Linked DNA regions of Lonchura striata. The protein of the gene in region 1 interacts with the protein of each later gene in a pairwise test. Links are inferred from orthologs where the notes say so. Each region holds a gene or a part of one and is shown on either strand. Other genes may lie near its edges. The genes, in order: PSMA1, UBXN11, POMP and CCNH.

The links.
Region 2: the proteins of PSMA1 (region 1) and UBXN11 interact in binary tests that used the Homo sapiens proteins (3 or more experiments, as listed by UniProt). The two-hybrid records come from large-scale screens. The link is inferred for Lonchura striata from reciprocal best matches to the Homo sapiens genes PSMA1 and UBXN11.
Region 3: the proteins of PSMA1 (region 1) and POMP interact in a two-hybrid assay, tested with the Homo sapiens proteins (2 studies listed by BioGRID, with this or other methods). The link is inferred for Lonchura striata from reciprocal best matches to the Homo sapiens genes PSMA1 and POMP.
Region 4: the proteins of PSMA1 (region 1) and CCNH interact in binary tests that used the Homo sapiens proteins (3 or more experiments, as listed by UniProt). The two-hybrid records come from large-scale screens. The link is inferred for Lonchura striata from reciprocal best matches to the Homo sapiens genes PSMA1 and CCNH.

The regions. Positions count from the first base shown.
Region 1 is NC_134608.1:50,396,910-50,403,863, forward strand, and holds the start of PSMA1 (proteasome subunit alpha type-1), read left to right. Parts: upstream 1-3,935; 5' UTR 3,936-4,017; coding exon 4,018-4,020; intron 4,021-4,951; coding exon 4,952-4,996; intron 4,997-6,954. UniProt on the Homo sapiens protein: Component of the 20S core proteasome complex involved in the proteolytic degradation of most intracellular proteins. This complex plays numerous essential roles within the cell by associating with different regulatory particles.
Region 2 is NC_134628.1:342,855-349,971, forward strand, and holds the start of UBXN11 (UBX domain-containing protein 11), read left to right. Parts: upstream 1-4,113; coding exon 4,114-4,216; intron 4,217-4,395; coding exon 4,396-4,496; intron 4,497-5,235; coding exon 5,236-5,290; intron 5,291-6,086; coding exon 6,087-6,160; intron 6,161-6,584; coding exon 6,585-6,696; intron 6,697-7,117. UniProt on the Homo sapiens protein: May be involved in the reorganization of actin cytoskeleton mediated by RND1, RND2 and RND3. Promotes RHOA activation mediated by GNA12 and GNA13.
Region 3 is NC_134604.1:68,760,823-68,768,474, forward strand, and holds the start of POMP (proteasome maturation protein), read right to left. Parts: upstream 3,002-7,652; 5' UTR 2,943-3,001; coding exon 2,940-2,942; intron 1,618-2,939; coding exon 1,520-1,617; intron 771-1,519; coding exon 710-770; intron 1-709. UniProt on the Homo sapiens protein: Molecular chaperone essential for the assembly of standard proteasomes and immunoproteasomes. Degraded after completion of proteasome maturation. Mediates the association of 20S preproteasome with the endoplasmic reticulum.
Region 4 is NC_134642.1:53,251,945-53,259,919, forward strand, and holds the start of CCNH (cyclin-H), read right to left. Parts: upstream 3,007-7,975; 5' UTR 2,981-3,006; coding exon 2,864-2,980; intron 2,773-2,863; coding exon 2,650-2,772; intron 1,485-2,649; coding exon 1,411-1,484; intron 1,177-1,410; coding exon 966-1,176; intron 646-965; coding exon 482-645; intron 1-481. UniProt on the Homo sapiens protein: Regulates CDK7, the catalytic subunit of the CDK-activating kinase (CAK) enzymatic complex. CAK activates the cyclin-associated kinases CDK1, CDK2, CDK4 and CDK6 by threonine phosphorylation.

The DNA.
Region 1 (6,954 bases):
GTATTTTGATGACTCAAACAATTCTACATATGCTGTTTAAAGCATAACTTCTAGGCTAGCAAGCAATTTATAGCTCAAAGTACATTTTTCTTGTACAATAAAAGCATATTATACAGAAACTCTTCCTCACTCAGAGTGAAGAAATAAAATTCAGGTCCAAGAAATAGCAATAATATCCATCTAAATGTAAATATATTGTTGGTCCAGTCAAACAAGAACCTACAAATAAAAGCTATTTCCATGACCAGGATATGCTACAACAGCTCTGCTGTGTTGAACCTTGTGCCCTTGTTTATTCCAGAACTGGACAGAATGAGCCAGACTCTTCCCTGCAGCTCTCTTTCACAGGGATTATTTAAACCTGCTTTCAGCATTGCCTGCTCTTTCCTAGCCAGCTTTGATGATCAAGCAAGGCTGGTTGCCCTGCAGGCCTGTCCTGAAAAGGTCAACTGATGTCAGTCTACAAAAGCTATGGATTAAAAAAAGTAAGGAGTGGGCTTTAAAATGCCTGTAGTTGATACCTCAATTGGTCAGTAGTTTAAAAATGGAAAAAATGCCTTTGGCAACATGAATGCAAGTTTGTCTTAGAGACTGAAATGTCTGCACCTCTACTAATGTGGCAGCAAAAGAATAGGAAAGAAATTTGGTATAATTTACATAGAGAGGTTATTTTTTCCTATTTACAGTATTAATACAAAGCAATATATTTTTTTCTTTGTAAGAACTTCCAAGATCATCTTTAAATGATTCTAAAGACAAATATGTACACTTATATTTGCTGTCAAATTTTTATTTTTAGTCTTAACCTACTTGATGAAAATGTCATCAAATACTACATATGTCATACACCAAGGCTTCTAATTAATTAATTGAGTAGTCTTGTCACCATATATCTATTAATGAAGCAAATCTCTTACCTGTATTAAATCCAAATATGGATTGTTCACATTGTCAAGGCTGTAAGACAGTTCTCAAAATAACTTAGTCAAAATGCTCAGTCCTGAGCGCATTATGACAGCACTGCTATTTGTGGGCAACCACTTGTCCATCTGACAGGAGTGGCTCTGTGATCTCTCTGGGATCTATTCTTCCCCTTCTCCAAGGGGATGGAGGCACTGCCTTCATTCAGTCTGCCTCTTACTCTGGCACAGCAGTTTTCTTCTCCTCCTTTGGCAGTGCTGTGCCCAAGCAGCACAACGTGCAGCCCCTGGGAGTGCTCCCAGAGTGTCACCACTGACCTCAGAGGAGCCAATCTTTTGCCAAAATACTCCACCTAAATACAGGAGCATAGCACACAGGGGTTAATGTGGGCTGATGGTGAGTGGTATCCCAAAAAGGGACTTGCAGGAATGTTGTTTCCTCTCGTGAATCAGCAGAAGCAGAGGCATAATGGCCTTGCCTTTCAGTTGCTGTACATTAATCTCTGCAGAGCAATGCCTGTCATCGCTCAGATGTCAGATGCTGTTTATAACTCTGCTGGAAACACAGCATAGAATAAAACAGGCTCATTAGTTTCTCTTGAGACTGTATATGCATGGTTTAGGATAGCTATGCTTTCACTGCTGCTCTTAGCTCAAACATTGCAGCAGCAGCATCGGTGGCTCAGACAGTTGTTTAGTCTGTGAATTTGTCCAGTTGCTCTCTCAGTATGTGACCAAAAGACCATGATGTGTTCAGGTGCAGAGGTTTCCACAGTATAGGTATGACAAGACCCAGAAGTGCCCCCTGGGCTTGGCTTGAGCCTGCTGCTTTTAAAGACACCCCGCACCAGAACTGCAGGACGGAGAGAAGTGTTGAATCTATTCAGCATCTCTGTGCCAGCTGTGATTTGGAAAGAGTTCAAAGCCTTTCCTTCTTTATCTGCTATTTACACTGAGGACTTCTACTCCTTACTGGCATCCTTTACATGAAGCTATTCCATAATTTGAATCCTTCTTTTTACTTTTCCCAGTGCCACATCATTTCAAGGTAGGAAACAAGAGTCATGGCCAATGTTCAACGGTGTCAGATGCAGTATGGATTTACACAGTGGCACAGCAATGCTTTATGTTTTGTTCTCCGTCCTAATCATTCCTTACATTTAATTTGGACACTACTGGGCACTGAACTTGTTTTCATACAGCTATCAATTGTGTATTCATTGCTCTGAAGTCATCCTGGTTATCAGGTTACCAAATGTGAAACTAAAAAGGAGAAAATATTATTTTCTCCTTAGATTTTTTAATAAGTAGTTCATTTAAATGTGAGGATAGTTTTAGCTTTACTTTTCAGTCCTGTACTCTTTTATATTGTGATGTCTCAATGTAATATACTGATTGCTTTTTCACTCTGCAATTAGATTTCTAATATATGCAAAACACTTCCTTTCTGGTGTGATGCCTTTGTTATCTGAGCAACAGCCATTTGATTTTTGCCTTGTTGATTTTGCCTTTCTCGCCTTCTGAATCGACACCTTACACCCTCAGTTCAAATACTTCAACGAGGAATAGGCTGGGCCCTCTTTAATGCCAGCACATTGAGGTGAAATCATTGAGGTGAAATCACCTCCAACCCTCTGGCTTTAACCCTGCCTGTAGAGCTCTCGTCCTGAGCCTAAGGGACAAGAAGGAGCATCCAGAAGGAAGTGAATGACTTCCTCCCACGGTAAGCGTTTCCCGTTCCAGAGATTATTCCTGTCTCCGGCATCCCCTTGCGCTGCTGCCCTGGGAACGCGGAGCCGTTGTGCCGCCTGCAGGATCCCCGTCCCCTGCCCCCTTCCTGCTGCCACGGGACCCCAGCCCCGCCGCTTCAGAATAAATTGTTAATAGCTGGACATCTGGTGGCTCCGGGTTTGGCTTTATCTTGTTCTATCCATCTAATAAAGGGGGAAGGATTACTCCGGAAAATACTTCGGTTGTTATTTAATAAACCTGCGACAGCTCATACAGCTCCCAAAAGTTCTTCATTTCTGCAGCTATTACCAAAATTCTCCACGAAGTTAAGTTTTACAATCCTGCCTTTTGATCGCTAAAACCGCGGCTGCTGACATTCCTGGCCGTACAAACACTGAACAATGGGGAGTCTTGGCGTGGTTCAGCCTTCTATCCAAATTAATGCGGTTTTGCCAAAACGAGGGGAAACGTCTGCGTGTCGCTCTGCTCCCGTGGCCGGGGTGGATGGAGCTCTGGGGAGTCCGGAGTTCCAATATAATAATATAATATAAAATAAAATAAAATAAAATAAAATAAAATAAAATAATATAATATAATATAATATAATATAATATAATATAATATAATATAATATAATATAATATAATATAATATAATAATATAATATAATATAATACATAACATAACAAACATTAGAATAGAATAGAATAGAATAGAATAGAATAGAATAGAATAGAATAGAATAGAATAGAATAGAATAGGAGTCCCCTGTTGCCGTAGGAAGTTACTGGGGAGTCCGGAGTATAGTATAGTATAGTATAGTATAGTATAGTATAGTATAGTATAGTATAGTATAGTATAGCATAGCATAGCATAGCAAAGCATAGCATAGCATAGCATAGCATAGCATAGTATAATAATATGAGTCCCCTGTTGCCGTAGGAAGTTTTTGGGCAGCGGCACCAGGGAGAGGCTTCGGGAATATTTTACTGCAACCTCCTGAAGCTCATCAGCTTGCTTCATAAAATGCTTACACATCCTGTTCCCACACAAAAACGGTGAGGAAAGGAAGTAGTTTCCGAACCAAACAAACTTTTTTATTTATTATTATTATTATTATTAATCAGAAAGCTTAAAAATAACAAAACAATTTCGGCAATTAAAACCGGCCCCCAAGGAACCGCCTCGCTCAGGGCGGCGCGCAGGCGCGGCCCATCGATGAGTCGGGGCGCGGCCCATCGATGAGTCGGGGCGCGGCCCATCGCTGAGTCGGGGCGCGGCTGGCGCTGCCTGCCCGCCGCCCGCCCGCAGCGCTCCGCTCGCCGCCCGCCGCCGGGAGCCGCCGGGAGCCGCCGGGAGCCGCACCATGGTGAGGGCCGCGGGCCGGGCCGGGCACACAGCCCGGCACAGGGAGCCCCGCCGCTGCCCGGCCTGCCCGGCCCGCGCGGGGCAGCCGGCAGAGCGGGCGGCGGGGAGCGGGCCCGTGAGTAAGCAGTTCCCGGGCCGCGCGGCGCCGCGGGCGGGACTGGGCCTCGCTGCCGGCGGGAGCGGGCCCTGCTTGGGCCCCGGGGCACAGACCTCCGAGCCCCGTGAGGATGCGTGCGGATATCTCCCCAGGGGTCTGGAGCACCTCTGTTGTGAGGAGGCTGCGGGAGCTGGGCCTGTTCAGTCTGGGAGAGGGGATTCATTAATGCCTACAAATATTTCATAGGCGGGCGAAGAGGACTGTGCCAGACCTTTTTCAGTGGGGCCCAGTGACAGGATAAGGAGCAGTGGCCATAAACTGAAACAAAAGAAGTTTCACCTCAACATAAGGAAAAGCTTCTTTACGCTGATACAGAGCACTGGGAGTGCTGCCCAGGGGGGCCATGGAGTCTCCATCTCTGGAGACATTCAAACCCACCTGGATGAGCTCCTGTGTCACTGCTCCTGTGACCCTGCCTTGGTAGGGTTGGCCTGGATGATTTCTAGAGTCCCTTCCACCTCACAGTTCGACAAAAGGAATTTAACAAAGTAAGAATTTGTTTACAGAAAGGGCTGTTGTTGGAATGGGCTGCCCAAGGAAGGTGGTGGAGGCACCATCCCTGAAGGTTTAGGGAAGCTGGATGTGGCACTCAGGGCCATAGCCTAGTTAACAACTGGGTCGTGTTCAGTCACAGATTGGACTCGATGTATCAGAGATGTTTCCAATGTTATTGATTGTGTAGTGCTGGGATTCTGTGAAAACAACCAGGGTTTCCTCCAGGAGCACTCTCTTAGCTTATTAGGGATACTAATGAGTTTTATTTTGTTCATTCCAGTTTCGCAACCAGTATGACAATGATGTCACGGTTTGGAGCCCGCAGGTAAAACCTTTATACACTTGCTCACTGGGGTTTTAACTTGCTTTTTGGGTTTTCTCCACCTCACAGCAGTGGTATTACAGTCACAAAGGTTGTGCTCAGGTACCTGAAGCTTCCTACAGGCTGCTCCCCTCTCCCTTTGTAGGCTGTAGGTGACCAAGAAAGCCCTCAGCACACCCCTGTCTGCTGATGTATGAACCTAAGTGCTGCTTACCTGGGCCTTGTCCCCTCCAGGTGCTTAAGGCAGTTGCTTTCTAAATGTACCTGTGAGGTGCAAAAGAGATGGTGTCATCTTCGGGTGGTTGGACAAGATGATCTTGTAAAGATCCCTTCCAACCCAAACCATTCCATGACTCTGTGATCCATTCACAGAGCTATAATAAGTTGGTAGGTAAGGTACACAAAGCATGGAACAGTTGCAATCTCCCCAAAGTTAGGCCATTACTGGGTCTTTCTCTATTTTGTCCGCTAGATAATTGGGATGTTCAAGTGAGATTTACATTTGAGTTTGAAATTTTACTACTTATGAATCAGTTTCACACTGTTTTTTGTTACTGAAAATATACATTGTGTGTTCTTAAACTTACACAGGCTGTGTTGAAAGTAAATATTTTGGAATTTTAAAAGGCACTGTCAGCTGAGGTGTTTAATATTGCCTCTTCTCTCACTATGGATATTTTAAGACAGGATACTTACAGAAAACCAGAGCCTTGGAAAAAGACTCGTTTATGTATTCAGGAAAACTGGAGGTTTATTTAAAATGCAAGTAGCAAATTGTATTAATATAAAGCTAATGTATCATTAGTTTGTGGGTTTGTATTGCTACTGAAATTATTCATCATGTAGCACTATTGCATGTGAGATTCATTTTCTGTACAGTGCAACAGAGAGTGTTCTCTCCTTTCCATTCTCCGTGAAGACAGCCTTGAATATTTCCCTTTTTTTCACTCAATGCCATGATAGGTGTAGGTGCCTTTGAAGGTGTTGATGCCTTTGAGCTGTTTTCAGTCTTCTTAATGGTTGTGTTTCTCTGGCAGGTTCTGTATCACAAACTTTTTTTGTTTTATCTGTTACTTTAAAAGTTACTTTTAAAATGATAACATTCACTTGAGATTTTTAGCAGATACTGCAAAATATCAGCAACACAAATTTCTCTGTTTTTTTAAGTTGCCTTGAAAATATTAATAGTGTTGGGTTTGTTCTGAAAAAAAGACATTTTAAATTGCTGCTGTGATGCAACTGCTACTCTATCCATTCTTGCAGGTGAGGCAGTCATGTGATGCCATAATAGTTTTTGGCACTGTTAATGCAAGAGCAAATAATACTTTACTGGGAGATGTTTTTGAATATGTTAATAAAGAAAAGGAAATAGGAGATTTAAAAACTCAAAGTGGTTTCTCATTTTTACAGTCTTGCATGTCATTCCTGACAGCTGACAAATTCATGTTGGACAGGTCACAGCAATTCAGTGCTGCTCTTGGGCAGGAAATATCTTATGTTACTGAAATTCCAGTTACAACAGGGGATGAAATTCAACATTAGGGTCTTTCTAGTAGACCTAAAAAAAGAACCTTATGCCAAAAATCCCCAACAACCTATGGGAAGGTGGTATCCTGTAGATCATCCCTTGCACATTCACCATAACAGTTGCTGTGTTCCCCTCCTTGCCAGCTGATGGGATGCAGCTCCATGGTGTCATGCTTGCAGGATAGGAGTGCCTGTATTGGCTGGCTGACATAGGCTGGAGTGCTGAAAATGGGGAAAACCCTCAGTGGTTCTGTTACATGCACACGAAAGCTCCTGACCACCTCTGCAGAACTTGTAGGGACTTCATTTCCTTTGAGACCTCTACTCCTGTTTCAGACTTGACTGCAGTTGGCCAATAACTTGTTCAGAAGTTATTGGGGAATGGCTGGTGAGACACAACAATTGTGTAAGACTCATTTCTTCAGCAAACCAGA
Region 2 (7,117 bases), on another chromosome or scaffold:
AAACTCGGTGCTCGCTGCTGGGGAGAGGACAGGGCTGCCAGCAGGAGCGTGCTCTGGTCGCTGCACGGAGCACTCACGGCCCTCGCAGGGAGCAGCGCTGACAGCCCGGCGATGCCGGGGGACATCAGGCGGCTCCAGCGGCTGGGCCGGCCGCGGCTTCCGGCAACAAACGCCCGTCTTTTACGTGTCTCCATTGCCCCAGGACCAGTCCGGGCAGGGGGACAGGCAGCCACACGGGGGACTTAGAGGTTAGGATCGGCCCGGCAGGAAGGGACGCTGAGGAAGGCGAAAGCCGCTCAATATTACAGAGCCCCCCTCACACAGACACACGACCGGAGCCGCGTCCGCCCCTCACAGGAAGCGGGGCGCCTGCGCTCAGCATTTATATTAACCCTGTCGGGCTGTGATTGGCTGAGGGCGGGAGGTGGCGGCGCCGGATTGGCAGGGAGCAGCAGCCCCTGCCGCGGGATTGGCTGGGGCTCCGCGCGGGCTGCCCCGCCCGAGCCTCCGGGGAACGCTGAGGGATCGCTCGGGAATCTCCGGAGCCGCTCGGGAATCTCCGGAACCGCTCGGGAGTTGCTCCGGGAGCGCTCCGGGATCCCCGGGAACCGCTCGGGGACCCCCGGGGGATGCTCACTCGGGGACCCCCGGGGGATGCTCACTCGGGGACCCCCGGGGGATGCTCACTCGGGGACCCCCGGGGGATGCTCACTCGGGGACCCCCGGGGGATGCTCACTCGGGGACCCCCGGGGGATGCTCACTCGGGGACCCCCGGGGGATGCTCACTCGGGGACCCCCGGGCCTTCTCCCCCCCGGCTCGGGCGTGGCCCCTCCATCTCCGAGGGTTGAAGCCCCGAGAAGGGGCCGGTGCTGCGCCCCCACCAACCCCGGTACCGAAGCGGGAGAACGAGCCCGAGGTGTCGGCACCGGCGCGTTTATTGCTCCGCTCCGCAGGGCCGGGGGCTCGCTCCGAGGCCGGGGGTGGCGGCAGGAACGGGTGCGGTGCCGGTGATGCCGTCCTGGGGAGGGGCTTCGGGGGGCTGCAGGGACGCCCCCGGCTCAGCGCAGCTGCAGGAGGAGCGCTGCCAGCACCCCCAGCGCCACGGCCAGGAGCGGGGGGCTGGCGCCGGGCGAGCTCCGGCCGCCGCTGACCGTGGCGTTCGCCGCGGCGGCATCTTGCGGAGCGAGCTCCTCCGCGTTCGCTTTCGTGTCCTTGGCCTGGCCGAGCGCCTGGCAAGGAAAACAGCGTCAGACATCCCTCCCCACAGCAGCGGTGAAAGCCCCGAGACCCCTCACGGGATGGGTCTGGGGGCACTGCGGCGCCCACGCTGCCCCTTCCCAGGCGGGACAAACAGCCTCCTGTCCCCTGGCAGGTTCCCTTCCCACTCCAGCTCTTGGCTTTGGGCTCGTCCCAAGGCAGGGAGGGAAGTGAGCTCTCCCTGGAGTCGCTGCCCTGCTGCTGACCCGGGGGGTTCAGAAATTAGGGGGGAAGTGGAAGCCAGGGAGTGGTGTCTGCTCCTCTGGCTGCCGCGAGGGAGTGGTGAGAAGGTGTCGGGCCGTGGCCCTGCAGAAGAAAAAGAGGGGTGGGGGTTGTGCGAGGAGCAGGGGGGACCCCCGAGCCCGGGCAGGGTGCAGTCGGTGTGTGAAATGCAGCACAGCCAGGGTGGCAAGCTCGGGGCAGTTTCTTTCCCTCTCTGACGCTGTCCTGGCTGCTGGAAAAGCGATGCCGTTTCCCACTGTGAAGCACACTGTCTTACACCCCTCCCCAGGGTCCCTCCCGAGATGGGAAAGGAGCAGGAACGAAGCCCAAAACTCTGCTCTGCCCCTTTGCCACACTCTTGTCCTTTTTGCCTGCTTTACAGAGGGGAAAATCCCAAAATCTACACGCACCCCGTGGAGCCAGCAGCAGGTCCCATCTGTGGGGAACTCCATGAGTGAAATAAGCACAGACAAATCTGGCATCGTTACCAACATGTAGGAGAAAAAAAACCATCCCAAAAGCTGCCTCAAAGTGCATCATGCTCCCCAAAAGCGCTGCTGGGTTCATTCCTGACACCCAGGAGAGCCCCATGTCCTCAGCCTGGCTCTCGACCCATGGAGCCCGCAGCAGGAAGGGCGATAACAACCAGAGGAAACCACAGGCGTGTGTCCAGCAGCCCCTCCAGCCCAGCATCCCCACAGCGGGCACGGCCAGGCTGGAAGATGGGCTGGAGAGCTCTGCCAGGGTTCCGGAGGTGAGCGGTGCCCTCAGGGCAAAGAAAGGCATGAAAAAAAGAACCGCATGGAAGAGTCGGGACCTGGCAGAGCGCAGCACAAATCCCTTGCTGAGACCACAGCGGTGCGAGGCAAAGAGAAAACCAAACACGGCGGTTTTCAGAGCTGCGGGCTCGTCCTTACCAGGCACAGGGCGAGCAGGGCGAGCAGGGCGAGCAGGCGGGCGCGCTGCAGGGGCGGCATGGCCGGGGCTCGGCGGGGCTCCGACACTTCCCGTGGCACTTCCCCGTTCGCCCCGAGCCTTTAAGCCCGGCGGGGGCACCGCGCACCCAATCGCGCCTCCCTTCCCCAGCAGCGGCGGGACCGGCGCGGTTTTGGGGAAGTCGCAGCTGCTGCCCGCGCTGCGAGGAAAAAGGTGCGGGCCGTGGATTTGGGATGTGCGGGCCGTGGATTTGGGATGCCCGGGACGTGGATTTGGGATGCCCGGGCCGTGGATTTGGGATGCCCGGGCCGTGGATTTGGGATGCCCGGGCCGTGGAGCTGCTCCTCCGCATCCCCTGGCGCCGGAGCAGCTCCCTGCTCCCTGGCACGGCAGTGATGAGTGACAGAGCAGGGAAATTTCAGCTGAATAGAGATAAAGTGGAGAAATGGGACAAAAGGGTGTAAAGGGATGAGCGCAGGATGCTAGCCATGGCGGGAAGCAGTGGAGAAATGGATAAAAGGATAAAAATAAAATTCCCCACTGCAGTGGGTGTTCTTTCAGAAGTAGGTGAAAAGAAAAAGTGCATCCCGAGTTAAAAAGTTGAAGGAAAGGCTGAAACCCCTCAGGTTCTGCTTCTCCCTGGGGCCTCTCTGTCCTCACACCCACCAAGGACTAAGAGTGACTGAAACCCTCCCTGGATCGGAGGGAGGGTTTGCAAATCGCAGCCCAGGTCAGAAGGAATAAACCTCCTTCCCTCCAGGTGGAGCTGGAGCCAAGGCATCCCTTGGGATTTCAGTTACAGATCCTAAATAAAGGGGGAAATGCTTCCTTTAATCCCCTAAAGCGGGAAATGCTTCCTTTAATCCCCCAGCTCCATCTGCTCACAGCAGATCTCCGAGCTCCCTCGCCCTGCAGCACAGGAAACGAAAGGATCTGGTTATTTTAAGATGGTTTGAAATGAATAAAGTCACTGGAACGTGCTGAGAACACACACCTGCTGTCTGGGTTCGTGCTGGTGAAGCACATCACGGTGAGCTCCCTGCAGCTCCCACCCTCAGCTGAGGGCTCTGCTGCAGAAAAGCTTCACCAAATTTGGCTCGGTTTGGCTCTTCGGGCAAGTAGAAATTACTTGAGCACAGCCAACCTCCCTGACAGTGTCCAAGGCCGGGCTGGACAGGGTTTGGAGCAATGTGGGACAGTGGGAGGTGTCCCTGCCCATGGCAGGGGGTGGGATGGGCTTTGGGGTCCCTGGAGCCCAAACCTGTCTGTGGTTCTGTGCACGCCCCATCAAAGGAGGTAAAACTGCGGGGACAATTGGCCTGTCCCACTCGCCTGCAGCTGGCGAGGCCGAGCTCTCCGGGTGGGATGGGGACACCCAGGAAAGGCTCCCGGGATGGGGACAGGAGCTGGGGCAGCTCAGGGCACCAGCGGGGCCCGGCTGAGGAAACAGGGACCGAGGGAGCAGGTGAGGGAATCGGGAGGAGCCCCAGGCCAGGCTGACGGGTGTGTGCGGAGGGGGGCTGAGGAGAAAAATGGATCCCGCTCCCGGTAATTCCCGGCGCCGGTGTCCCGGGAGAACGCGCGCGGTGCACGCTGGGAATTGTAGTTCCCAGGGAACTCCAGCGCCCACCACGTGACCAGCGCCGGACCAATCGCGGCCCGCCTCGCGTCGCCGTGGCAACCGGCTGTACACAAGATGGCGGCGGGGGGTGAGTTTCCAGACCAGGCCTGGGCCGAGGGGTCCCTGCAAGGCTCCCTCCGCTCCTGCTCCGGGGTCAGCACTGAAAACAACACGGAGGGTAAAGCCCCTGAGGGAGCTGGGAGTTCTGGCCCAGCAGCTTTTCGGTGACACCCCCGGCCAGACCCCTTCTGTGGCTGCCCTCCCGCACACACAACCAGAACCAAGGGATTTTTACCCGAAAAGTCCTCCCTGCTGTGGCAGACCAGGAACCCTGCTCACAGGTATTTGTGTTTTCAGGTGCAGCTCACCCTGACATGGAGCTCTCGTCTTCTCTGGCAGAAAAAATCTCTCTGTTGGAAAAAAAAATAGAGAAACAAGCACAAGAAATCCAGCTGCAGGTAAAAGTCAGCCTCTTGCTGAGGCTGCTCTGTCCTCTGCCACAGGAATTCCACCTCTCAGACCTTGTGTGGGCTCAGAGTCCATCTGTGGTCTGCTGTTAATTACCCAAATGAGCCCTTTACAAAGCAACAGAGCAGTGGGATCAGGCCTTGGGGTGGCAGAGGGGACAGTCCCTGCTGGGGCTTCTTGCAGCAGTGACTCTCAGCACCCTGGCACTGACATCAGCAGCTCTTTGGCTTCAGAATTAATTTTTTTTTCCCTCCTGTGATGGTACATGCCCCCTTTTTGTTTTCTGAAACAGCAGCTGCTCACACAGGAGAGTGGAACTGGAGCAGCCCTCTCTGCATCACTGACTGGAATAAATAAATACCCTTTAAAATCTTAGAATAAATACCTTTAAAATCTTAGAATAAATACCTCTTTCTGTTCAGATTGGATTTTTTAAGACGTGGCTGCAGAGATGCTGGTTTAGTTTCCATACCAGCCCCTCCCCGCAGGTCTGAGCAGGAGCACCTGGTGCAGAGGGAGGACGGGAGATGGGTCACCCACTCCTGGAGCTCTCCATTTATCCCAGCCCTCCTTTGAGGCTCATTAAGGGGTTTGTGGGGTGGTTCAGCCCTGCTGAGCCTTTGGGCAGCGCTGGGTGGGGGAGAGGAGCTGCAGCAGCCCTGATTGTGCCAGCTGTGCCTGGAGGGGCTGAGCCCAGAACTGACCCAGCCCTTTGTTCTGCCCCTGAAGGCCGGGAGGATCGCCGAGCTCGAGGAGAAGATAAAGACTCTTCAGGAAGGGGAAGGTAAAATCGTTCTGCAGCTCTGGGCAGGGCAGCAGAGCAAGGCATTTGTGTCTGTTACTCTGCTGCAAAACATCCTGAGCTGTTTGTGTGGGTTTCGGAGCCTCCACGGCTGCGAAGCCAACCGCAGGCTGGGCAGGAGTGCAGTAAACACTGCCGAGTTCAAGCAGCAGGAAGGCAGCTCCTCGCAGCTGGGAGCAGCCAAACACACCCCTGGAGTCTCCACAGGACTCCAGCCCAGCAGAACTCGAGATTGAGCCCAGCTTGCAGTGGCTCACAGGGGTGTTTTCCCCTGCATCCAGCAGCTTTCCCAGCCCCAGCCGGAGCCCACAGACGTTTCCTGCAGGGCTGAACAGCCTGCTGTGTGCAGGGCTGTGGTGAGCTCTCCATTTCCTGAGCACAGAGCTCAAATGTGGCTGTCAAACCACAGACACGAGCTCTGCTCCTGCTGCTGCACCGTGCTGCCACCCAGCCAAGATTCCAGGATCCAGCTGCAGCAGGCACCTGCTCCTTTTGGGCTCCTTAGGGCTGAGCTGAGCAAGTTCCACTGTAGGCCTGCCAACAGCACCTCTCACATCAGCTCCCATGGCTTTAAATTCCCCAGGCTTGTTCACAACTGTCTTTTGGCCTGCCAGCAGCCTTGTCAAACCACTGCAGGGTGAATTGTCCCCTTCAGCCCCTGTGTCCCACGGGTGGGAGTTCACTGAGCACAGGCAGGTGCTGCTGGGGCCCTGCCCTGTGTGGCACAGGTGATCCACAGCTTGAGATCTTCAGAGGAACGTCAGCTTTTCTCTTACAGATGCTTCTGACTCGCCCAGCACAGAACTGGAAGCGAGGTGCCTTCGGCTGCAGAGCCAGGTCTGGGAGATGGAGGTGAGGCTGCTCTGCCTGCCCTGAGCCAGCTCTCCTGTGGTTTGGGGTCACTGCACTCCCAGTTTGGCCTTTTCCAAGCTGCCCCTTTGGTCCTCACAACCCTTCTCCTCTGAGAAAAGGGAGCAGGTTGGATGTGAGCAGCACCTGGGCCTCCTGTGAGCTTCATCCTGATTGCCAGGGCTGCAGGAATGCCCAGCTCCTGCAGCCTTGGGAGGTTCCCCTGGCACTACAATCTCCTCCCTTTGCCCTGCTGCTGATGGAGCTGCTATCACTGCCCTGCCAGGAAGTCTGTCTGCCAGGGCCAAGACAAACCTGTTCCACCTCCCTCTGTGCCTCCCACAGCCACAGCTGACCCCTCTCGGGCTCCCTTTTCCAGTTCTCTGGAGCTCTGGGCACCAAAGCCCACCCGACTCTGCTCTTGCAGCGGTTCCTGAGCGACTACGGCCTGGTGTGGGTTGGAGAGGCACGGCACCAGCTGGGAGACACAGAACCACTCCAGGAGGAGGAGCTGCCAGCAGGGAGCCCCTGCAGGCCGGGTAAACCTCTGTGAGATCCCAGCTCCACTCTGGGCTGAAGCTGCTAGCCCAGCTCCCCCCGTGTGCTCAGAGAAGGGGGAGTAGAAAAGCATCAAAACCTCAGGATTTGGGTCTTCAGAATTTGGGATCCTGGGCCAAGATCTTCACGTCGATCCCTCTCAGGGACACAGACGTGGAGCAGTCTAACAGGAGCTCAGCAGAAGGTTTGGTTTTATATCCCTGTGTTTTGTACACCCTTCTGGGGGGAGAACCTGATGGCTCAGCCCTTCAGGAGGAGCAGCTGTCTCCTGCAGAATTCACAAACCACATTTGAGGCTTGGTTGATCTCATGACATTGACACAGAGTGGGTGGAAAATGGAATCAGGTGCTTTGTGTACACAGGAGCTGTAGTAACTTACCCACAGAGCCTGGCTCCATCAG
Region 3 (7,652 bases), on another chromosome or scaffold:
AGATTTATGGATATTATATATATATATATAGATATAGATATATACAGTCAGACCATGTCCTGCTGTTTAACTTAGCAATTTGGAACATTCTATCAAAATAACATCTTTGCTTCAGGACAGTTTGATACATCATATCTTCTGCACTGACAAAGCAGGCACCAAAGACATTCCCTTCAGTCAGCAAGTCTGGCCTCCCACTACCTTGCACAGACCACTTGTAATGGTCCATGAGCAAGGACTGAGCCAGACAAGACTGCAAACACTTATGATAAACTGCAGGTGTAAAACACCTAGCTGGGATTGAGCAATTCATGGAAAAACATGTACGTGTTCACAGGCTGAAAGTCTGAAAATGAAGACAGTAAATCTACAGACAAAATGGGAGGATCAACCTTCACGAGGTGACAGGTGTGCCCTTGGCCTACCTATGGTGGCTGTACACACATTCTTGGACAGCTAAGCCTGACCACACAAGTCCCTACTTGGAAGCCTGCTTGGGGAGAGATGTAAGTAAGAGAATAATATTAAACAGACTTGCTGACAATGTTATTTGTATAAATAAAATTTGACTGTTGTTGAACACCTTCATTCTGTTAGAGACCCCACTCATTAGTTGCTACTATACAAAGCAGTCCAGATAACCACCCTGTTAACTTAAACTTCATAATTAGTTAAGAGTGAAGATGGCTACATTTGATGTTAAGCTTACATTTTTTTCTGTCAACTCCAGTGGGTGGCTGGGCAACAATTCATTTTTCACACTTGTAAAGCTAGAAGAACAAGTAGAAAAGACATTAATTTCAATTGGGATATGTTTTTTTAGTTGCATTCCAAAACCAATCTCAGATACAAACACCAGTCCCCAGAAACACACAACTAGCAAAGTCCAAACTACAGAAAAAGATTAATAGTGAAGCAGCAAGAAAAACCTCTAACTACAGCACTACCAGGAGAAAAAGTTTCAAATATCTTTTATGCTGGACAAAACAGAATGTGTTTTTCTTCCTTGATACCTTTCAGAAAGAGATGAAAACACTAATAAACGAAATCATTACAGATTTAATTATGTCCAAGCTACACTGTATCTCATTTTGAAGCCTCCAAGCTTTACAATGTTATATTGTACATACTTGCCCCCCAATGCCAGTTGTATGGCATTTTAAACTGCATGAGCTTATTCTGGATTCATTATCCATGACAGAGACGTAAGTATCGCACTCAGGTAAAAATGGCAAACTCCAAACTATTTTTATTATATTACTTTTGGGGTTTGTCCCAGCACTGAAATTAACCATTTACCACAGTGTTACGGCACACTCACATGAATGTATATTAAAACTATCAGATATTGCATAATTATCAATACTTTGCTGTTTATTTTCTAAAGGACAGTATCACAGAGGTAAATGCCAGTTTGCAACACACCTTGCAAAAAAACTCTATAAAAAGCCAACATCTAACAGATGCTGAAGTTCAACACTGTCTATGACACAATTCAGCAAGCAAAAGTGAAGCGTACCCTCTGCGCAGAAGATCATGACCTTCAAATAGCCCTGAAGCTGAAACATCTGCAAATGGGATACTATCCTTCAACAGAGAAGAAGTGCCTCTGGAATTCTGGAAGAAAAGAAAAAAAGGATTACTTTACTTCAACAGAACCAGACCACTTTTATATGGGCCATTAAGCCAGCCAAATGAAAGAAAGAGCTCAAAAACTCCTTAAAGTACCACTGGGCAAGCCCTAGACTTCAGCGTTTCTTTAAAATAGAGGCAAAACATCCAAATCCATAAACCCTACACTAATACTGAATTCTTTCAGAGGGTCTGATAAAAACTAAGGTGCTGACAACATTTTTGGGTCTGCTTGACCCAGATCAAGTTAAACTGACAATATACCCCCTGTTTGTTCCACCCTGGGCTGCAGGGATGGAAAGAGGCAAGTCCTAGCTGACAGGACAGAAAGGAGTATTTCTTCATTTACTGCAATACTGACACAAGATCAAATTTGGCCACAGTTTGAGGCTGCCATAAGGAGGACAAGGTGTATTCGAGCAGCCCAGAATGCCAGTTAACTGAAAGAACAAAGGAAAGTAGGAACTTGTAGTGGATCACCAGAAGTCCACAGACTTAGTAAGTACTGCTTACTGGTAACTTAGGCCATTAATTTCATTCTAACCTACCTGAATTTATCAAAGTGATTTTAGGATTGTTCAAAAAATTGTTCCTCCGATAGGGCAATGTCTAATAAACAGCAAAAGGTGACAGCAATAATCTCTGGGAGGTGACAGTGATGAGCAGCTCACTGCAAGGGTTTTCCCCCAGCAGCACTGTCAGATCCAACAGAAAAGTCACACTTACAGTTAAGTTAGTATTTCTGTACCAACATGCGAACCCTCAGTAACAAAGAGCTGTAGAACAGTCCTAACATGCCTGTTGTTCCATGCATATAACCCATATACCAATTTACACACTCAGCACTGACAAGAGACTGCTGCAAATGAAAGCATTAGATACGGTACCTGGGGGACGTGACAAGAGGGAAAACCAAAGTTAAACTCAAGGAGAAAACCACGAAACACTCCCCAAAAGCAACACTCCCGAGTCACCCCAGTGCCCGTCCAGGCAGCCCCAGCGCCGCTGCCCACCGCCGAGGGCCGAGGCGGGACCTCCTTCCCGGCCCGGCCCACTGCAGGGAAGGGCTTTAACCACAGCCGCCCCGAGGCCTCCGCGCCTCCCGGGGCCCGCGCCCGCGAGGAGACCCGCCATGGCCGCGCCGGACCCCTATGACTCAGCACGGCTCCGCTGCCCCCGGGGACGCCAAGAGGGTGACGGGAGGGGTATCTGGGGGGGGCAGCAAGTGAGGTCCGGTCCGGTTTGGCTCGGCGCAGTCGAACACAGGGACACCACCACCCACCCGGCGCCGCCGCTCCCGCACTCACCATCTTGAGCCCCTGGACGCGCCGGCCACTTCCGCCCCGCCCGCTCACTTCCGCCCGGCCCCGGTGCGTCACCGCGCGGGGCGGGGCGGGGCGGGGCGGGGCGGGGCCGGGGCGGCGGTTCCTGCCAGGGGCGCGGGGCTCGTGTGAGGGGCTCGTGTGAGGGGCTCGTGTCCCGGCCTCGGCCTCCTTGGGCACGGCTTTCTTACGCGTAGGTCTGTGCCCTGTAAACTGAGCGCGCTGCTCACTGAAGCACAGAAGCAGTTACGTGGGAAAAGACCTTTGAGACCAGCGAGTCCAACCCGTGGCCGAACACTGAGGCTGCCTCATCCAGTCCTTCCCTAAACACCTCCAGGGACAGTGACTCCGCCTGGGCAGCCCATTCCAATGCTAAATTACCCTTTCTGTGAAGAAATTCCTCCTCATGTCCAACCTAAACCTCTCCTGACAAAACTCGAGACCGTTTGCTCTTGTCCTGTCGCTTGTTACCTGGGAGAAGAGGCCGACCCCCCGCGGCTGCACCCTCCTTTAAGGCGCTTCTAGAGAGAACTTGGGTCACCCCTGACATCTTTTCCAGGCTAAAACTCCAGGTCATTCTCGCATGCCAGCAAAGCCCAGCTGTCTCAGTGCCACCGTGGTCCCAAGCAGGAGCTGAAGCTGACCAACACCTTCCCACAGCAGCCGGGGGCAGCCGTGTCTGTGGTGTCTTGGTGTGGAGAGCTTTTCTCGGTCAAACCCACCGTGTCCCACTCTGCCACAGGCAGCAAAAGCTGCTTGGGTGACACCAAACTCATCACAGTGCTGACAGCCTGAGCTGATGGGACCAGGCAGTGAAGCTTCCAGAGAGTTTTCCATATATTTCAGTGCATAACTCCACATGTGTATCTGGGATGTTTATTTTATATATTTCTTCTGAGATGTGTAGCTCATTTAATCCTTTAACCTTTTCATTTGGATTACCCTTAGTGACCCAAACTGACCTGTTTTTGTGGATTTTAAATGTGGCAATTAAACGTCATCTCTCTATCTCACGCACACACACAGCTACAGAGGCAATATTTAAGCAGGAATTTTCTATGTTTTAATGGAACTTAGATTTGTAAAAAAAAAGACTGAAAAATGAATACACTTTATACTCTGTTTTCCTGTTTCTTGGACAATATCTGTACTCCTCTTAAATCCCACCCACCCCTCACATTCTCAACCCAAATTCTAGCCCTTTGTATTTAGGTCTTAAGTTTAAAGCAAAAACTTCAAAAGAATGAGAATGGAGGACTAGAGTTTTTAAAATCATTTTTAGGAAAATGAGTACCACAAAGGTCTCTCTGATCTTATAATTATAATGGGTACTTGGTTATTGTGGTGTTGCATTCATTATTATAGAATAGATGTGAATACAAAAAACAAATCAAGTTCCTGTTTAACTGCAGCATACAGAAAGCTAGTTTTTGTCACTAAATGTATTTATTTATTGACTGAGTTTGTTGATCAGGATATGACTGTAGAGATGAAACATCTAACTTTCAAAGTCATTCTTGCAGGACACAGACAGGATGCAATCACTCCATGTACATTTTTGACATCACTGCGATCCACAGTCTAGGCTGCATAACATAAAAGGGCATACATTGCAAGAAAGAACTGGTTTTCCTTTAGAGGCTTTCACACTAGGGAACACTTCCAGACATAAACACAAATCACACACGTATTTTTTTCATCAGATTACCAAGTATTTCAAATTGAAGCAAGGCTTGATTCCTTTCACAAACAACTTTGCTTTAATGATCTTACAGCGAGCAGCTCGACAGTGGGTGATTGGGTTCCTCTCTGCAGCCCCACTGCAAACAAATAGGAATTGCACAAGCAATTGTCAGGCTGACCAAACCTGGGACCAGAATGGGAGCCCGTGGTGAGCGATTTGACAGTCCAGGAGCAGCTGCTCTGCATGTTGCAGGCAACTTCAGGGCTGCCACCAGCACCGGGGTCACCAGAGAGCAGACAAGCGGCCACGGGCACTGCATCAGGCACAGCAGCCCCGGCACTCGGCGCCCTGTGTGCTGAAACCTCCCTGCTGGGAGCAGTGCTGGCTGCAGGGCTGCATACTCTGCCTGAAGGCATCTCCCTGGCAGATGGTAACACGATAGAAAGTGACATGCAGTGACTGCAATTGCTAAAGGGGCCTTCTTGTCTGGGGACACTCTTAAGAGGATGTGGATACCTTAAAATTAGTGTGAAAATAATTATAGCTCCTCTAAATTGGTGACTTACATAAAGTTAGGATAATGAATTTCATATGTTGCCTTTAAAGATACACTCCAAATGTTTTGGGGTTTTCGGATATTTTTTTCTCATCACTTTGTGTAAAGGAGGTCTAAAATATATTACTCTTTCATATGTTTTCTGGATATTTATTACCACAACATTTTTGGAATGTCAAATCTGGTCTTTTTGGTTTAGCTGTGTACATTCACTAAAGATTTAAGCTACCTTTAGACTTAGACATTTATCTTTTGGAAATGAGGAAGTGTTTACTCTTTTTAAAGAAAATGATACTGGTCATATGGTCTTCTATCAGTTAAATTGGAATTAAAACCCAAAAAACCTCATTGAACAAAGCTTAGACAGCCTGACCTAAAACAAATCCTGGTTTCAGTTACTCAGCTTTCTCTTGCCTGGATCCCAGCATGGCATCATTTCATGGGAGGTCTGTACATTTCCCGCTGAAACCTCCAGAAGAAAGGTGGATTCAAGAATTGTCACACAGAGGCACAACATTAGCTCAAAACGTGCATTATCATAGCAGCAGAGTTCCCAGAAGAGAGCTGGCTTCTGCAGATCTCCTCTTCCATGGGTAAAGAAGTCTGATATGGAGCAACCTTTACTACCCAATCCTTGTCCTGAAAATTTTTTTGTGGGGGGCAAAGGCCGCAAAAAGAGTATGTTCTCCAAGGAAGCTTGTCTTTGTATCCATGTTTTTTTTTTAATATTGATGCAGCTTTGTCACTTTTCAAAATATAATTCCTTTGACATATCAGTGTCAGCAATGTGTTCTGACTACGTGAAGCTCTATCAGAAGAAAACCTTTATCCTGTGGGACTGGGAAACTCTTTCACTGGTCTTTGTCAACAGCCAGTTATAACTTGTTAAAGTGAAAGTACTTTTTATTTGTTTTTTAATCAAATCAAATAAACACATTTTCTTTGATCTTTAAGAACTCCTTTCTTGTTAACTTGCTTTATACTTTTATGTTTTGGCATTCATTGTAAATCTAATTATTTAAAAAGTTATTTTGTTTTACATTATTAAACCTTTTCTGAATTTAAGATAAACAGAGGCATGTTTTGTTAAAGATTAAAAATAAATTTCACACAAAACTGCAAAACGTAGCAAAGATAATAACATGTAGGCGTCAGACTGTTCCAAAACAAGACTCTCTAGGGGCTCTTCTGAACACACGGCTTCGTTAAAACCATGTTCTGAAAGAGCTCAGGAAACCCCTGTCTCTAACCCACCCTTTCCTGAAGCTGGTGAAAGTATTTAGAAAAAAGTTACTGTTGCAGGGAGACAAAAAAAAAAAAAAAAAAAAAAAAGAAATCCCACATATTGCTGAAAGAGCTTATTATTTCCTGTTTGTTTACTAGCAAAATCTAGTTTGTAGGATCTTCTTTAGTCAAAACTTTCCCATCCTCATTGTTCAAAAGCAGCAAGCATCCAATAGGTGACCAGAAAGAAAGCATCAGGATGTCTATATTAATGTAGACTTTTTTAAGATACTGAAACATCTAGTGGGGAAATAATACTGACCATCCCTCATTTCATTATCTGATTTATAAGTCATTGGTGAAATTTAAGTGGAAAGATAATATATCTGTTTTCAGTTCCTTTTTTGGTGGGTCAGACAAGGGAAGCCAGTTGTGTTTTGATCCAAGCAATGTACTTGGATTAAAAAGGAGTCCTTTTTCTCTAGAAGTGATGACTTACTTTGCAGCTTGTCAGTGCTTTTGTAAGTGTAGCAGTACTTTTTTTGTACTAATCCGTTGTTTGTACTGCGTGAGTGTGGGCTTCGCTGCGCTCTTTGTGCAGGCTCAGAAAAGCAGGATGCTGCGCTGGGAGAGCCGGTCACTAGGGGATGCTCAGCACCCGAACACTCCGCGCCTGCTTCCCACAGCGCTCGCCAGCCGCCTCTGTTCAGCCTCGCTCAGATACTCCCGCCTGGGTTTGAGTACTTTTGCACTCGCAGTGCTGTGAGAATTATGAATCAAGATCAAAAGATAAAAAACATGGTATGCGCAACAGCTGAAGCTATATGAGCAGTACTTGATGGAATGCTGCTGGGTTTATTTCCCAGTTAATGGATTGATAACTATTTTCAGTAAGCTCTGTTACCTCCCTTTGACACTATGAAAGTAATCCTGCAGGCTGAGTCCAACGTTTAGCCAAGCGAGTGTTCACGTAGTCAGGACCTCTGGTCTGAAATCAGGTCCCTCATGAGAATTCAAAGGAAAATATTTTTGTGTTTCCCCTCAGTCTGGAGTGATTTTTCTCCCAGGAGCCTACCCACTCTGAACATATAGGTGAGACTAAGAGCACATTTCCTGTGAGAGTGTTTTCCTACGGGAAACCTTGAATTTAATTAATGGTAGTCACAGCTGAAAGAATTGAATGGAACATTACTTCCTAGTCCTGCTACTGTGCAGGAAAAAAATCCCACAAGAG
Region 4 (7,975 bases), on another chromosome or scaffold:
GATGTACTTATGGGTTTCACAGAAGGGAAAGAAAAGAGTGATTTAAAGCAACACCTTAGCCCTTGTGCATACCCATGGCAACTGAACAGTTGCAGCAATCAAACACAGCATGTTACAGCATGCCCATTAGCTGTCAGTTCAGTGTAATTTCAGTTGACTCTCAATTTCTACCATATTTCCACTTTCTTCCCTGTCTAACCCTCAAACTGAGTCTGAAAACCCTAAGCTGTTCTAATTAAGGGAAAGCTGTCAGGGTTTTAACTTCTTTTAAAGGAATATAAAAACCAGACAGCAACTAACTGCTTTCATCACCTATTTGTGAAAATGAACAGTAACACTTCCATTCTAAACCATAAAGAACAGATGAGTGCTAGCAATCAACAAATACAAAATTCTAGTAATTAAGAATGTCTAAGCAAAACAGTTTTATACAAGAAGCAAACAGATTGTTTAAACCACACATATAAGAAAATAATACTACCTTTCCATATTAATTCCTGCTCTTGAGCCACTAGATAATATGGCAGTGAGAGCAATCTGTGAGGGAGTAAAGAGCAGATACGCATCTGTCAGAGCCACTCGATTAAGGAAGTCATCAGCTGTTTTCCTTAAAACTTCAGGATTTTCCAGCACTGGATAGCGAGTCTAAAAAGTAATGATTTAGAAAAAAAGGCAGCTGTTTGTCATTCTTCTTCATGAGTTCAGAATACACAATTCAACAGTATTTTATATAGCTAAAAAGTAGCAAGTTTTTAGCTAAAAAGTAGAAGTTTTTATTCCAAAAATATCCCAAATAACTTAAAGACCACAAGTAAGACAACTGTCTTTCAGGTATTTGTCTATCACTATGAAAATTAGATTTTTTAAATCACAGGCACAAAAGGAAATTAAGTTTTTTAAGTCAATGCATGACAGACTTGTATCACTTTACTATACAAAGCATATAGCATATCGGAGAGTATTACCTTAATATCAATTAGAAATCCCTCAAATGGTCTGTATGGGTTGTGGATGATCAGATGGAAGTTCAGTTGCTGAATAAGTAGCAGTTCATATTCTAGTATTTGTTCAAGAGCCTTTTCCTGTCCAGGAGGACTTTCTCGAAGGTTACCAACAAACTGTGCACTAGATACATTAAATTCATCTACTTTACAGGCCAAAAATGTGCATGTTAGCCTTGAGGAGGGAAAAAAAAACCCAAAAAAGCAAATAATTGACATATGCAGCATCCATTCTCCTACTGAAAGTTCTGATCAGAAAATGTGTATTTTTAAATATGTTCTGAATACAGCAAAAAGATAGTGAAACTGACCATATTTTGTCTTTACTCCTATTTAAGTTCTCAGATTTTCTTTCTTAGTTTTTTTTTTTTTACGTCTTTACAAATATAAAGAAGTATTGATAACTCACATTATTATCCGAGGATGATGCTCCATCACTGAGTTATTGAGGTAAAAACGTTTAAAATACATGCAAGCTGTACCCTAAATAGAAAAAAATAGGGAGGTAAAAAAAAATGGATGAAGAAAAAAAAAATAAAATAAAAAGAAACTCCCCTCCCAAAACGGGCAAGTTTGGATATATGCTACAGGCACACAGGATACACTGAGGCACTAAGACACATACAGCCAGAAATTAAGTATTTCACACACACAGGAATGAAGTACTTCAAAGTCTTTTTTGCCTGCAAGAACCTTATACTACAACTGTAATACAAAACAATTTTCCTTGTTTTTAGACATGTTTTAGAAGACAATGCCTAAAAAGCCAAGAGTCCCTTTATGAAAATAACCTGGTATTAAAATGAAATTTAAAAATCAAAGGCTGAAAAAAATCATCCTCAAAGTTGCAAGCAATTGAAACAATTTGATTTTTTACATCAGTAAATTTTGCAGCATGTTTATCAGCATGAAAGTCGATGCTTTCCAAAATTAGACTCTGCAGGAGCTAGTTCTCAAACATCAATCTGGCTTCACATGCCATGACAGTGACTGTTACCTTTCAAAGACACCCTCAAGCACAGTACTCAACACACATGCTTGGAAAAGTGAGGACTAATGTAGGACAATGTAAATCATACATCTTAATGTCTTAATGAGTGAGGCACAATTTCACTCTGTTCAGCTCTATGTCCCCACTTCTCCCTTCTGAAATACGGTCTTCTGCATTCAAGACATCTAAGTTCAAGGTAATGTTTTTCCTTTGTAGGGTAATGTTTTCCCAGTACACGATCCAGCTTATTTTGTGGTCAGAGAAGCACTAATGCTAGAGAAACATCTGAATGACAGCCCAAATTTGGGACCGTCTCCTTCAGCGACTGGGAGATTGTTTCATTGTATCATCAAACATTAGCACCAATCATCTACAACTATTTTGTTTCTACTCTTTGCTAAGGGGAAGCAAAACAATTCAGTCACCCAAGCAAGTTTAAGAGCCACAAGCAAAAGATCACGTTGAAAAGTATCAGGTTTTGAAATGGCTCTACGTGTCAGAAAACAAGACAACAAGCTGCCACAGACTGTAATGCTAGAAGGAGAGAAGAGAGATGAAGAGATTTAAAGATATCCGCGCTCTCAAGAACAAGCCAAGAAGGCAGCAAGCGAAGGAATAAGGAAGGCCGAGGCTACGGCTCCTCCTCGCCTCGCTTACCACAACGGACCGCGGCATCGAGGGCTTGAATGCGGCACAGAAGTCCAGCAGCCTCTTTTCGTAGTACTTGCATAGCGCCAGCTCCTCGTGTGGCTCCAGCAGCACTGGGTCACCCTCCGGCACCTTGGGAGAAGCAAAGCCGCGCCTGAGTTCGCCGCCCCTGCCTCCCCGCTCCGCTCCGCCCCGCGCCCGCAACCTCCGAGCCCCTGCGCACCTTTCCGCTGGCCACCGCCCTGGCTCGGGCCCGGCGGTTCCCCTCAGCGCGGCGCCGCGCCAGTTCCTCCTCGCTATGAAAGAGCCAGTGCCGGCGCTGCGTGCTGCTGTGGAACATGGCCCCACAACATGGCCGAACCCGCGCGCGGCACGCCGGGATCCGTCGTAGCGTGTGGGGCGCGGCGGGGCGGGCGTAGAACACTTCCTCGTGGAAGAGGGATGTTTCCGTTTCCTTTTACAAACTTTTAATTTTTAATGAAGGGCCGTGGCAAAACAGTATGTTGTAAACTTTTGCATGCTTGTGTTTCCTTTTCGGTTTTATTAATGTATACTTGCAAATTTACATTGCACTTGTGCAGCCTCACGTCGAGTGCTGGGGACAGTTTTGGGCACCGCAATGTAAATCAGACGTTAAGCTACTATAGAGTATCAAGGATGATGAAGGGTCTAGAGAGGAAGCTATATGAGGAGTAGCTGAGGTCACTTGGAATGTTCAGCCTGGAGAAGAGGAGACTGAAGGGAGACCTCATTGCAGCTTACAACTTCCTTGTGAGGGAAGAGGAAGGGCAGACACTGATCTCTTTGTGGTGACAGTGACAGGACTCGAGAAAATAGCATGACGTTAAGCGTTAAGTCAGTGGAGGTTTAGGTTGGATATCAGGAAAGTTTTTGACCGACAGGGGAATTGGGCACTGGAACAAACTCCCAAGGGAAGTGGTCTAATCACCAAGTCTGATGGATTCAGTAAGTGTTTGGACAAAGCTGTCAGGCACGTGATGTGATTCTTGGGATGTACAGTGCAGGCCCAGGAGCTGGACTTTATGATTGTGGTGGGTCTCTGCCAAGTTAGAATATTCTGTGATTCTGCTCAGTAAAGTTCCTTCAGTAGTCTCCTGCTCTCCCCCAATAACCACTATATATAAAATCCAGTTATACTATTAAGGAAGCAGCATTTCATGTTTAAGCTAGAAATTTTAGATATTACAGTGTAGTATCTAATATTTGTATTTGACATATGTGAGGAAAGTATGTAAAACATAATTGTGTGGACAGTCACAGGACTTGTAGTTAAAAATGTTACCCAGCAAGTAACATAAATTCTTTTAAAAGGAGTTTATGCAGCAGTGGGAGAAAAATTCTTTTAACCTTAGGACAGGTGTTTGTGCATTAATCCTATCTACGATTAATGCTTTGTTTTGTATCATACAGTGCTTACTACAAACACTAAGGATAAATGTGGGTTTAAGTCTCTACATCTGTGACTAATAAGCCTCGTGCCACAACTAGTGTGGGAAATTATATAACTTTACTCATAATTTTTCTAATAGATTATTTTAATTATCTCTTGTAATTAATCATTTTAATTATTTTGAAGCAATGTAATTTTACGCTCTGTCATATGCCACTGTAGCTGGCATTTAGCAATGTTGTCATAAGCTGGTATTGTGGGAACATGGTTTGGGGAAATTACTGAAACTTTAAGTTTCACTGAAACAAGTGAATCAACACTTTGATATGTTTCAATAATCTCAGACCAGGAAGGATGTTAACAAAGCCTTGCAGAGACATCTATTGTTGAAACTAGATGCAGGTAATGGAAAATTCATGAACAACGAGGACATTTTGCAGAAACTCAAGATAAAGAAAAAACTAACCAAGTCAATGCATGACAGACTTGTATCACTTTCAGTTCAGCAATTGTACTGGATGTGCTGTTTGGGAAAAAGATAAAAACACTGGAGAGCTGGGCTAATTAGCATGAGACGTGAGAAAACAAATAGGAGATAGAATACTTACTAATGAAGAGAATTATGGAACTTACAGTCAATGAACATTCATTTCTTTATTTGTTACAGTGCATAAATAGTGAAAAGTTTTGGAAGTGGATATATGTGTTAGGTGAAGCTATCCCCATGTACCAAACATATTGAAAAATATCAGCTTTCTAACAAAAAACTGGTTAGAGAGTTTGTTTCCTGTTTTTTAGTGACAAAGGGGTTCTTTGTGAGCTGACATGACGAAGGTCCTTTCCCTAAACTACACAAGAAATAACTGTATTATCTGCATAGTCTGAATCCATCAATACTTTGCCTTAAATTATAGTAATCAGCACATCCAGCATATAAACAGTTTGAAATCTGACCAAATCTGAGTTCCAAGAGCCATATATACAAAAAATACCAAAAGGGTGCTGTTGTGCATCTGATTGTGACAGTTTCACAAATTAGAGACTCATAAATAGTGCATGTTATTCTAATACTCAGTTTGCTGAGTATTATTGTTAATACATTATTTTACATCATCACTCTAAGAGTAAAACGTAAGAATAGGAATGAAAATTTCTAAAGAGAGCAGTACAGAGGGTAAAGCAGATTTTTTTTTATTTTTTAAAGACTCCATTTCTTTTATGCCTTTCACTTTTCAGAATCTTTACTTCAAAGGTATGTCGGTTTAAGGATACCAAACAACTACGGACTTCACTGATTGTAGTTCTTCTGTAACTTTAACTGGTATGGTGAATTATTAGTGATTCTAAAATTCAGTCTGAAAGTGGAAAAAGGCAGATTTAGATAACATATCTGGAAAAGTAATTATAAAATACCTTTGTGTTCTTGGTCTGAGACCAAGCTATGAACAGAACCTAAAATTTACTGTTTCTGGTTCTCTGTTGTTTTTCTCACAATAGTTCTCTTTACCCACAACACAATTTTGGTATATTATCTTGTAGCCAAATAGGTTAGTAAAAAGAAGAAATAGTGCAATGTGATTTTTGTGCAAGTAATAAGGTCTACAAAGAATGGTATAGAATACACTAATAAAGTGCAGAGTGAGTATAAAAATTTTTACGACATTCAGAAAGATAATTACAAGAACTGAAAGGTTTTTTGGAAAGTGAAGCTATGTAAGTTATTAATCAGTTGCTCAACTCAGTAATAGGACTAACTTTATGTGTTATTTGGTCTGGACGTTTAGAGAAGCTCTTATTCTCTTGAAGTTGAGAAGCTGAGGAATGAGAAGTTCACAGAATTCCTATCTGTGCTGGAGGCTGGGCGGAGTACAAGAGGCTTTGCTCTCACAGATATCATTTCTGAGGTGGGCCAGCAGAAGGGAACACTGGACAGTTCAGCATTGTTGGAGAGCCAGGCTTTGAATTGTCACGGTCCGCCACTCTGATGCCAGCCTCCACAGTTCAGTGATGGACAAGGGATGTCTGTCCCAATATTCCATTGCCCCTCTGCATATGTCTTGGGCTATTGCAACTCCGCTTTCTACTTCTCTTCTTCTCACCCATGTCTTCAGCTCACCATAGGTATTTCATGCCAGTCATCAAAGGCTCTGTCTTTTCTTCCCCTCCTCAGATGCCCTTGCACTTCACTTTCTCCAGTCCTGCCTCTACTGACATAAAAAACTCCACCCCAATGACCCTTTTCCCCATTGCTTCCAACATGAATTGATCTGGTCCCAGACTTGGGATTTGGGACAGCGTTATTTAGGCAATGTCAAACTTAGATGATGTTGCAGATACAGCTGCACTGACACTTTTCTCCTAAAAGGCTCCCCTTCCCAACATGTCTAGTTCTCCTGTGCAGGTTATCTGTGCATTTTGGCCATCTCTCGGGAAACACTCCTTCATGGATTGTGAAATCCAGCCATTCCTCATAGTGTCATCTGAAATTTTTCCCTGATTTCCTGAACCCCCTGTGCTGAATTTGTGATGATCTGTGATGGACCAAACTTTAACCTTGCTGTTTCTCCACAGCCATGTATCCATTAACTCAGATCTCATTGTTTGGTGATGCCCTCCTTTCTGGGGTGCACAAGAGGGCAGAGGGCAGCCTCCAACTAGCAGTATATTTCCAAGAACCACAGGGGTAGACATCATATTGTAACATTATTGGGTTGTGGAGGTGATAGTAATTCCAATAATACTCCTAGGAATAATCATAATTGTTGGAATCCTTGATGCTGAGAATTTTCAACTTTCTGTGCTGAAAGGCAGAGACTTGCAAGAGAGCACTGCATTTGACTTGAAGCTGTGGAGAAGACTTCCAAAATTGATTAATAGCACTGGAATTCTTAGTTGGTTAGAAGTGTGTAATATCACAGGATGGAAAACTTAGAGTTTGGGGTTTTAGAATACAGAAATAAATATAAAGCAAGATACAGGTTGTAGGGAGGAGAAGGGTTGTTCTTCGCCTTCTTCTTCCTTCTTCTTCATGGGTTTGGGTGATGTTTTGTAATTAGACAGAAAAGTCTGCATTGCAGGATTTGAGGTATCAGTTATTGGGTTAGAAGGGAAAATAGTCCAGGTGTCATTTCCTAATTGGATAGTTTAGTTTTAAAAGACCTTGTAACAAGAGATAGTTAGCCATTTTATGCTTTGCTAATGAAAGACTGCAGAACTCACAGCTGTGAGGTTGTTTCACTGATAAGAAATAATAAACACGTGAGTCCGACATGAAACACCGTCTCAAGTGCCTTCAATCCCAACCTCGACAGAGGTAGAAAAAACAAGCAGAGGACCCACACATAATCCTGGTGGTAGATTATGACTGTGACCTCACATCCATTGCTCTGTAAAATCAGGTGCTGTCAGAGCCTGGGCCAACCTGTGGGAACAAGTACACATGGCCACAGGGAAGGAGTGGAGCTGCCCCATCTGCTGCAATGCACCAGATGACATTGCTTACGCAATGCCCTGCGGCCACCAATTCTGCCTTGGCTGCGTCTTGCGTTGGGCAGAAAGAAATCCTGCCTGCTCACTCTGCAGAAGATCCATCTTGATAGTGAATTTTTCTGATCATGGTGGAGATGACAACCTACACTATGTTATCACACCTCCCAGAGAGTTGCCAGACACCAGCACCAGGCAGCAGAAGCTCCTAGAGGCCTGGCTGAAAACAGATCCCCTGGCCCTGCAGATTCCCTTGTTGCCTGTCCACAAGGAATAACAGCCCCTGCTCAGCAGCAGGCTGCAGGACCAGAAGCCATGGGTGGCATCCTGCCAGAGCTTTGGGCAGAACTTTGCTGAAGACAATGGAACCTCCTGGACCCTGTGAGGCCATGGCTGCACCAGGGGCTGGGGATTATATATGGGGGCAAGTAGTATGAG